Rattus norvegicus: one gene and its partner. The protein of the gene in region 2 interacts with the protein of the main gene of each other region in a pairwise test. Links are inferred from orthologs where the notes say so. Each region holds a gene or a part of one and is shown on either strand. Other genes may lie near its edges.

Region 1 (4,675 bases), on a different chromosome or scaffold from region 2:
GTTCGCCTGCTAGTGTATCACTTAAAGTCTAGACACCAAAGTACTAATTTTACTATCAGCTTCAATATTTCTCTTTAAATTTTTATTATCAACTGTTTTTATTTCTCCTTTGTATTACAAATATGCCATTTATCCCCTAAACTGTTGACACTATGAATTTCAAGTCAGTAAAGGGGGTACAAAATATTTACTACAGAAAAACTGAGTTTTCAAGAGCTATATATTAATGTACATCCAGAACTAGTGGGAAAGGCCTCTTCCTTTCTGATTATATAGGGCTCTAATTTATGACTGCAGTAATCACCAGCAAAACTCAGTAAAACTGGTAATATTTCTAGTTGGATTTTTAATTTCTCTTCAATAGTCTGCCATGGTTAGACAAATGCTAACAATTTAATCTATCAATATTATCACCAGTACAAAGGTAGAGTTTTATCAAAGGTACCGCCGGCCCACCAAGTCTCACTGCCTAGTGGAACCACTGTTTCCTGTGGTCTCCTACTGGGGTGAGCTCTATCACAGACCGACTTCTTGATTCTCCAAACACATACTATTTGTTCTCTCTGTTCCATTAAGGCAGAGTGGGTATGCGGAACTTCCTCCACATGGGAGGCTCGGCTAGAATGTGTCCTGTTCCACTCTTATCTGAACTTTGCTTCCGTCAGTAATTAACCACATGGCATTCTCCTCCTTCAGTGCTCAAGGAAACGCTGTTCCTCGAATGGTGGATAAAAACTCACCTGTAAAAACTTTGTGAATGGACAGTTCTTTGATAACTTAATTCTTCCCAGGGTAATTGGTCTACTCAGGCTTTCTTCTTCGGTCAATTTTGATAATTTATATTTGCCTATAAAATGATCCATTCCATCAAGATGTTCAATTTATTAGCATAGAGTAAACCCAGAACGAAAGTAAAAATTTCAGCATACGATAGTCGCATTTTGATTTCTAAATATGAATTTAAAGAACTGCTTCTAGGATGGCTTGCTTTGTTAGTCTTTTAAGGAAAACAGTTGTGAATTGATCGGTTTTCCTACTTTTAATGCACGACTTTCTTCACTCGCCTATTTATCTTCTCTTGGGCTCTGTGTTCACTTCTTCTCACTTGGATCGGCTGTCCTACTCTTATTTACTACAAACCGTTATTTCTCCTTTGTGTGCAGCTTTGGCCTCATCCTGTATTAAGCAAACTATAAAATACGTGTTAACTACCTCTCAAAAGGATAAAGACCAACCACTAACTGTCCCCTCTATCCCACGCCACCACACCCACACTCCAACAGACAGATACCTGATCCGATCGCTCGTCCCACTGTAACCCCAGCGGCTCTCTACTTGCTGGAACCTATTGATACAGCATTCCTTTCCTCTGAGGCAGCATCGCGGCCGGTCAATGTACTCGACTCGGGGTTTAGGATTGACGGTAAAATGAAGAAAGAGGTTTACCACTTCACGATCTGACAGAATTCCAGATTGAGCAGGACCTGGAAAAATAGAAAATAAACTTAGCATTTAAAATTTTAGCATACATTTGAAGTTTTGGCCAATCCCTTTGAGGCTAACCTGAAAGAATGTGTTAAGATAAGTGAAGGCTTAGATGGAATGCTACCATAACAAAAAGGATCTTTCTGTCCACTACCCTGAGGACCACAGACTTCTGTTCACCAAAAGAATCAATCTCTCTGTTGGTAAATCAACTAACTCCAAGGTCAGACAGGTGCCTGTGGCCTTCCATTTCCCAGTCAATACTTGTCGGAGACTATAATCTGAACAAGGGACATTGCAGCCCAGAATGACAGGGAAGAATGCTTTGTTACTGGGGTTTAGAAGTGAGCAGAAGGTGAGAACTATGGTTGGGAAAGCTGTGCAAACAGACAACCACATACAGTACAATTTCCCAGTTCACTGTGTCTTATTAGAGTACTTCACAGAATTAATGCTGCTCCCCCACAAAGAGGGCAGGAGATCCATTGCAAAGCAAGTAGAAGCAGAAGAGACTTCAAAATACTACAGTTTTGGATTAGGAAGCCTACTGATTTTAAAACAATTTTTTTTAAACTTTCAGTCTGAGAGCCAGGTGCGGTGGCACATGCCTGTAATCCAGGAACTTCGTGTGTAGAGGCAGCTGAATTTCTGTAAGCTCGGGATCAGCACAGTCCACATAGCAATTTCCTCATCACAGAGGTTACACAGTGGGACCCTGACTCAAGTAATTTTTTTTTTTTTTTTTGGTTCTTTTTTTCGGAGCTGGGGACCGAACCCAGGGCTTTGCGCTTCCTAGGCAAGCTCTCTACCACTGAGCTAAATCCCCAACCCTCAAGTAAGTTTTAAAAAAGAAATCACATACAAAGTGACAAAATCTATTGCTCAGCACACATGATGCAAGCTTTATTACTTGTAATCTGTGGATAAGGAAAGAGTATAAAGCAAACAAACAGAGGGCAGAGAGGGAAAGAGGGAGAGAAGGAAGGTCATGAGAAACAGAACAGTACCTATGAATGATGAAATAAAGGAGGAAGATGAGTTTCCTCCAGAGGAATTAACATTTTAAGGATAAGGGCTGAGGAGACTCCTTATTTTGCAAAGTTGAATCCCCAGCACCCATATAAAAAGCCATGCACAGTCCAAGTAAGAGGCTCTTCCAAAAACCTGTCAATACCCAATGTGGACAGTTCCTAAGGAACAACACCATGACTGACCTCTGGCTTCTACATACTATGCAGTGCATCGCACCACACACACTTCTTAAGGTTTAAAATGCATGATAATTCAAAAGCCTGTTGCAAGAGGATTTTCCTTCATTGAAAAAAAAAAGGAAGTTTTCACTGGGCATCGGTGGTGCCACATTTTTGATCCCAGCTCTCAGGAGGCAGAGGCAGGCAGATCTCTGAGTCTGAGGCCAGCCTGGTCTACACTGGTTGAGTTCCAGGACAGCCAGGGCTTCAGAGAGAGAAACCCTGTCTCGGGGGAAAAAAAGAAATCCAAACAAAACAAAACAGAAAAACCAAAACCAAAACCAAAAAAGAAAGTCTTCATGTAATGAAAAACATGTAACCGCTTCAAGAAGGTAAAGTAGCGTTCACTAAGATAGAGAGAGAGGTAAATCACTAAGAGAGAGAGCGGTAAATCACTGAGAGAGGTAAATCACTAAGATAGAGAGAGAGGTACATCAAAGAACTCAGATACACCGAATAGACCATCAACAACCCCCTAGAAAGCAAACCTAACACAAGTACCAGAGGAAAGGTGTGCATCCTTCTAAACATGAGCCTGGCTGGTGGGAACAACTGCAGCAAAGGAAACAGGGCTGCATCTAAATAGTAAATGAGAAGCTGCCAAGCTCAAGCTCTAGAACCAGAAACATAGCCTTGAAAAGTGAAAGCAGGAGGAGAAGCTTACAGAGGAACAGAGGGGAAGAGGAGTTTTGAGGGACTCTGATGGCCTAATACCTACTGTGGAAAATACTAATTGTTTAGCTTGACAGAAATGATCCTAGACAGAGCACAGCAGTCATCAGAAAGGATGAATTTACAGGTAATCTAAATGATTAATGGTTTTTAAGATGACAACATCTTATAGGCTTTAAAATATATGAAGGAACAAAATACATGAAATGCACCAAACACTGAAGATAATACAGAAAAGTCTTTTGTACTGCATAGGACAGTTTAATTTGAAATTTTTATTTTTTAAGATTTAATTTTAAAATATCATAAGGATTTGTATATTAAGTAACATACCAAAAGAATAGTAAAAAATACTCAATTTCTCATTAAAATTACTAATTTTCTTTTGCTTTGCTAAAAATTACTAAAAATTTGCTAAAAATTACTTTGCTAAAATTACTATTTTATTTTGCTAACAAAATAATAAAAGAATGTTTAATAAGTAAGTAAGAGAACAAAATACCAGAAAAGAGAATAAACAAACAAACAAACAAAAATCCATCACAAAACCACACGGAGTCAACATAGGAACATGAAGCAAGATGGCAAGTCGTGCGTACAGGGCTCTTCCATGTCCTCAGATGTACCACGCCAATGGTGGTGTTCTCAGAACTGCTAGCTTAAAAGACGACAGTTTACAAAGACATGACTGGCATGCAAAGATAGTGAAAATCTAATTAAAATGGGGAAAATAAAGAATACAGCTCTGGAAAGATGGCTTAGTAAGGAACAGCATGTGCGTGCTCTTGTAGAGACCCAGTCTGGTTTCCAGCCCCCACACGGGCAGCTCACGACTGCCATGCCACCAGCTCCAAGGGGAGCCAAGACCGCTGGCCTTGGACGCCTGCTCTATTATGCACACCACTTCTCAGACACATACAACCGAAAGAGACAAAAATAAATCTAGAAAATGTAGAATACAAAAACGCTTTTTAAAAAGGTTGTAAAACTACGTTAGTGTCAAAGATGTAAGGTAAGCTTTACTAGATTTAGAATGGGGTATAAAATAAAGGAGGATAAATCCAATAAAAGAAATATAAAATCTAATGTACCTAATGATAACGATCTTTTTTTTTTTTTTCCTTTTCTTTTTTTCGGAGCTGGGGACCGAACCCAGGGCCTTGAGCTTGCTAGGCAAGTGCTCTACCACTGAGCTAAATCCCCAACCCCTAATGATACGATCTTAAAGAAAAAGATTATGGAACAAAGTGGGGACATATTTTCAACTA
Region 2 (4,775 bases):
AGACCAAGAAGTATGTATCTGATACTGTACCAAGGGCTGGATAAGAGAGAGCAGTTGGCATCGTCACTCAGAGGCCTGGGTGTCCCAGCTCACTCTGTCTCCTTATGTAGCCTTGGCTTCCCAGGATAAGCCACCATTCTCAGCTGTCTTTCAAAGGTTTCTCGGGGAAATTTTCCATGATATTTTACTCCTTTAAGCAGTACTGTGAGGATGCTTGTCTGTCCTTGTCTAGAGGTCAGTCTTAATGTCTGTGATTCTGTCATTCCTCCAGGGTAGTAGAGTCAAAAAAGAAGGCTGTACAGAGATTAGAAGAGCAGCTGATGAAGCTGGAGGTTCAAGCCACAGACCGAGAGGAGAACAAACAAATTGCCTTGGGGACCTCCAAACTCAATTACCTGGACCCTAGGATCACAGTGGCTTGGTAAGCATTAGGCTGTGAACTCCTGCTCTTAATTAAGGAAAGGCAGAAAGTCTCTGGGAGTAGCCAGAGACTTGCCAGCTCCCTAAGCTGCCATGTCTAAGTTCACATTTCTTCCAAGAGAGCCTGCAGCTCTGGTTGCTACAGGTACAGTGGAATCTCCTACATGCCCACGGGCACGTTAGTCTAGGAGCCCATACCTACAGAAGCCAGAGGAGTAGTACATTTGGTATCCTCCTTCTAATCACAAGGTAACTGGACTTGGTAGTGTATGCCGATAGCCCAGCACTTAGGAGGCAGAAGCAAGATGATCAACGCAAGTTTGAAGCCAGCCTTGTTTAAATAAAAAGACTGTTTCAAGAATAAATAAGACAAGAACAAGTTCCTAAAAAACACAAGGCGCAGCAAAGAATTAAGACCATAGATCCATGTAACTACACAGAGGTAGAGAGACCATTCTACAAAGGCACCCATTTCCCCCAGGATAGGGCCTCGACCTGATGCAGGCACGCAGCATTAGAGAGGGGATGGCCCACCTCCCAATGTCCTGGGGCAAGTGCAGAGGTGGAGAGGAGGCCCTTGCAGCATTCTAGGTCAGGAAGGGGATTTGGAGAGGAGAGAGGACAACCCATCCCTGCAGCATCAAGGGCTTACAGAGGTGTGGTGTGGTGAGCAATACAGAGCTCCCTCCCTCCCTTACTCTTTCATATATGCACAGTGCTGCCCCATTTCCACTTCTCCCTCTCCATGTAGCTAGTCCTATCATCAGGCTGGACGCAAGGAATAGAAGCTTACATACCTAGAGAACTGGTTCGGTTTATTGGGGAGAATAAAGGTTATTTAAACCTTTGGTGGGTGAGTAGGGACTATCTATCGAGGAGAGTGTACATCATTGGCCTGGCCCAGGGTGATAGGGATGCGTCATTGCATGAGGAAGAAATCCAGGTTTAATCTGGCTACCAGCTCCATAACCACCTCTGGTGAGGCAAAGTCTATATGAACATAAGCATGCAGGCCAGGGGAAGGGGAGAGGAGTGATCGAATCTTCCCAATCTCGGGATGCGACGTCCAGGGTTTGGACACACCTTGACCCTGCTCTCGCTCCAGGCTTGCTTCCCCTGGCTCCACAAAAAAGCATCCAAACAAGTCAATCATTTCTGAAGATGTTTCATTAGCTTGAGTCGTTGAATTCTAGACCAGAGACCTAGCTTTGTGCTTGTGTTGCTAAGGGTTAACTTTCTTTTTTCGTGTGTGTGTGTGTGTGTGTGTGTGTGTGTGTGTGTGTGTGTGTGTGTGTGTGTGTGTGTGTGTGTGTGTGTGTGTGTGTGTGCTGACACCAGGAGCTCTGCTGATAGTTTGGCAACAGTTGGTAGATTCTCTCCTTCCATCATGTGGGTCCTGAGGATCATATTTTGGTCTTCAAGCTTGGTGTCAAAGCTTGCTGTTCTGGTTAGGGTTTCTATTGGTGTGATAAAATACCATGACCCAAAAGCAATTTGGGTGTTTGTTTCAGCTTACAACTCTGGTCACACTCCATCACTGAGGCAAGTCAGGGTAGGCATTTAAGATGGGACATGGAGGCAGGACACGAAACTGACCAGCACAAAGGAATACTTACTGCTCACGAGCTTGCTGGGTTGGAACTTCTCACATCAGGTAGTCAAAATGCTCTACTGACCTACCACAGGCAATCTGATAGAGGCATTTTCTAGATTGAGATTCTCTTTCTGTGATAACTGTAGCTGTGTCCAGTTGAACAACAGCAGGCTACCCACAGAGGCATCTCACCATTCCCTGGACTAACTGTTGAGAAGCAGTGTGGAGGCAGGCAACAACGTGGGCTTCAGACAACTGCGTAGTGTGAAATTGCAGCTGCACTTTCTAGTGGCATGAGGACACTGCTTTTTACCATCTCTGCAGGGTGGTTGTTCAAATTCTACCTTTTCTTTTTTTTTTTTGGTTCTTTTTTTTTTTTTTTTTTTTTCGGAGCTGGGGACCGAACCCGGGGCCTTGCGCTTCCTAGGCAAGTGCTCTACCACTGAGCTAAATCCCTAACCAAATTCTACCTTTTCTGTTTGTATATCAAAGTAACACCTACTTTAGATATCTCTGTTGATTAAAAAAATGAGATGATAAAATACTAAAGTCCTTTGAATATTTTGGCGCACCAGAAAACTCGACCCCTGCTGTGGGTTGTCATTGAGATAGACTCATCTCCTTTGTTGTATCCATATTTATTTGTTTATTTTTTTTTTGCAGGTGCAAAAAATGGGGGGTCCCAATCGAGAAGATTTACAACAAAACCCAGAGAGAGAAGTTTGCTTGGGCCATTGATATGACTGATGAGGACTACGAGTTTTGACCAGTCTCGGCAGGGGTTCTGTGAAAGGAACAGTGTGGTTTGGGGAAGATGGATAAACTGAGCCTCACTTGCCCTCACACCGGAGGGAGAGGCCACAAGTCTTAACAAACCAACATCTTTGCAAAAAGATAGACCTGGAGATATTATAAGGGAGAGCTGAGCCAGTTGTCCTATGGACAACTTATTTAAAAATATTTCAGATGTCAAAATTCTAGCTGTATGATTTGTTTTGAATTTTGTTTTTATTTTCAAGAGAGCAAGTGGATGGGAATTTGTTGGCATCCTGCCAGGCAAATTCAGTTTTGCTGCAATGTTTGGATTCTCTCAGCTACTGTATGCGAAGTCTGATTATATTGGTGCGTTTTTACAGTTAGGGTTTTGCAATAACTTCTATATTTTAATAGAAACGAATTCCTAAAATCCCTCCTCTCCCCAATTTCAGGAATTTAAAATTAAGTAGAACAAAACAAAAACCCAGCGCACCTATTACAGCTGTCATCCACCGTCATGGGAATCAGTTTTCATTAAACTTGAAGCAGTTGTGGCATCATCGGCAGTGTTTTGGTTCAGACACCTATTCACAGAAAAGCATGATGGGAAAATATTTCCTGACTTGAGTGTTCCTTTTTAAATGTGAATTTTTATTTCGTTTTAATTATTTTAAAATATTTAAGCCTTCTTCTTGATCTTAAAGATCGTGTAGCTTGGGGTTGGGGAGGGATGAAGGGCGAGTGAGTCTAAGGATAATGAAATAATCAGTGACTGAAACCATTTTCCCATCATCCTTTGTTCTGACCATTCTTTGTACCCTTTAAGAAATCCATCTTTTTCTTTGGAAACCCCAGTCTTTCATTTGAAAGATTTTATTGTATAAAAACTTCCACAGGTCAATAAATTTAGAGGAAAATGAGCATTTGGTCCAAGGAAAACAAAAACAAAAACAAAACAAAAAGGAAAAAATAATCAAGATTTTAGGGCTTTTATTTTTTTTTCTTTTGTAATTGTGTAAAAAATGGAAAAAACCATAAAAAGGAAAATTTTAATGTGAAGACTTTTTTTTTGCTATAATCATTAGTTTTAGAGGCATTGTTAGTTTAGTGTGTGTGCAGAGTCCATTCCCACATCTTTCCTCAAGTATCTTCTATTTTTATCATGAATTCCCTTTTAATCAACTGTAGGTTATTTAAAATAAACTCCTACAACTTAACGGAAACATAGCGTCTGCCTCTTTGTGAATGAGGCCCCAGGCCACAGTAAAGGCCGGGGGCTGAGATTTAGTGCAGTGCACGGTCTGTTCATTCAGGTCAGCAAGGGTTGGTCCCTCCCAGTGGGAAGATGGTATGGGGCTTGACCTGGAAGTACGTCTGTCCTGATGTGGAATCAAGAGTAGCAGAGGCTCCATCCCTAAAGATAGGCCCAGAAAGCCAGGAAATGTACAGTTATCCTCCGAGAGCTGCCTAAGCCCAGTGTGGGCAGTAGCGCTTGCACAAGACGGCCTGTTTATTTGGGAAACAATTGTGGAGAGCTTTCCACATGTACTGAACAGAAACAGGATAGCTTTCTTATGTGGTGAAGCCTCCAGTCTGTACTGAGTACCAGATCTCAGAAGCCTCTCAGATGGAAGGAAGACTATTGATTGGTCGAAGGAGTTAACTGTTAACTGTAGCCAACCCAGAGCTCTGGGTACCCCAAAGTAGCCATAATCCCTACCAATGTTCCTTCTGTTATCCTAAGTCTGAAATTCAAGATGAAAAGGTGAGCTCCTGGCTAAAAGGAAGGTCCAAATGGGTCACGGACTGAAGGGTCTAGACCTGAGCTTGCTGGCATACGCGTTCTATTCAGAACCACCTTCCTTAATGGTCTCAGGTGCTGGGACCACGGCAGGAAACGCTTGCTTCCTTGAAGCTTGAACTTCACTGGCCTGTGAAGACAGGCAACACTTCCTCCTTCCTGGGAATAAAGACAGTATAACCATCACTGTTTGGAACCAAGAAC

The links. The genes of interacting proteins can lie anywhere in the genome.
Region 1: the proteins of Top1 (region 2) and Btbd1 interact in a two-hybrid assay, tested with the Homo sapiens proteins (2 studies listed by BioGRID). The link is inferred for Rattus norvegicus from reciprocal best matches to the Homo sapiens genes TOP1 and BTBD1.

What each region holds. Positions count from the first base shown.
Region 1 is NC_086019.1:145,153,352-145,158,026, forward strand, and holds part of Btbd1 (BTB/POZ domain-containing protein 1), read right to left. Parts: intron 1,485-4,675; coding exon 1,292-1,484; intron 848-1,291; exon of another isoform or gene 741-847; intron 1-740.
Region 2 is NC_086021.1:169,792,338-169,797,112, forward strand, and holds the end of Top1 (DNA topoisomerase 1), read left to right. Parts: coding exon 1-10; intron 11-271; coding exon 272-421; intron 422-1,670; exon of another isoform or gene 1,671-2,677; coding exon 2,678-2,780; 3' UTR 2,781-3,993; downstream 3,994-4,775. UniProt on the Homo sapiens protein: Releases the supercoiling and torsional tension of DNA introduced during the DNA replication and transcription by transiently cleaving and rejoining one strand of the DNA duplex.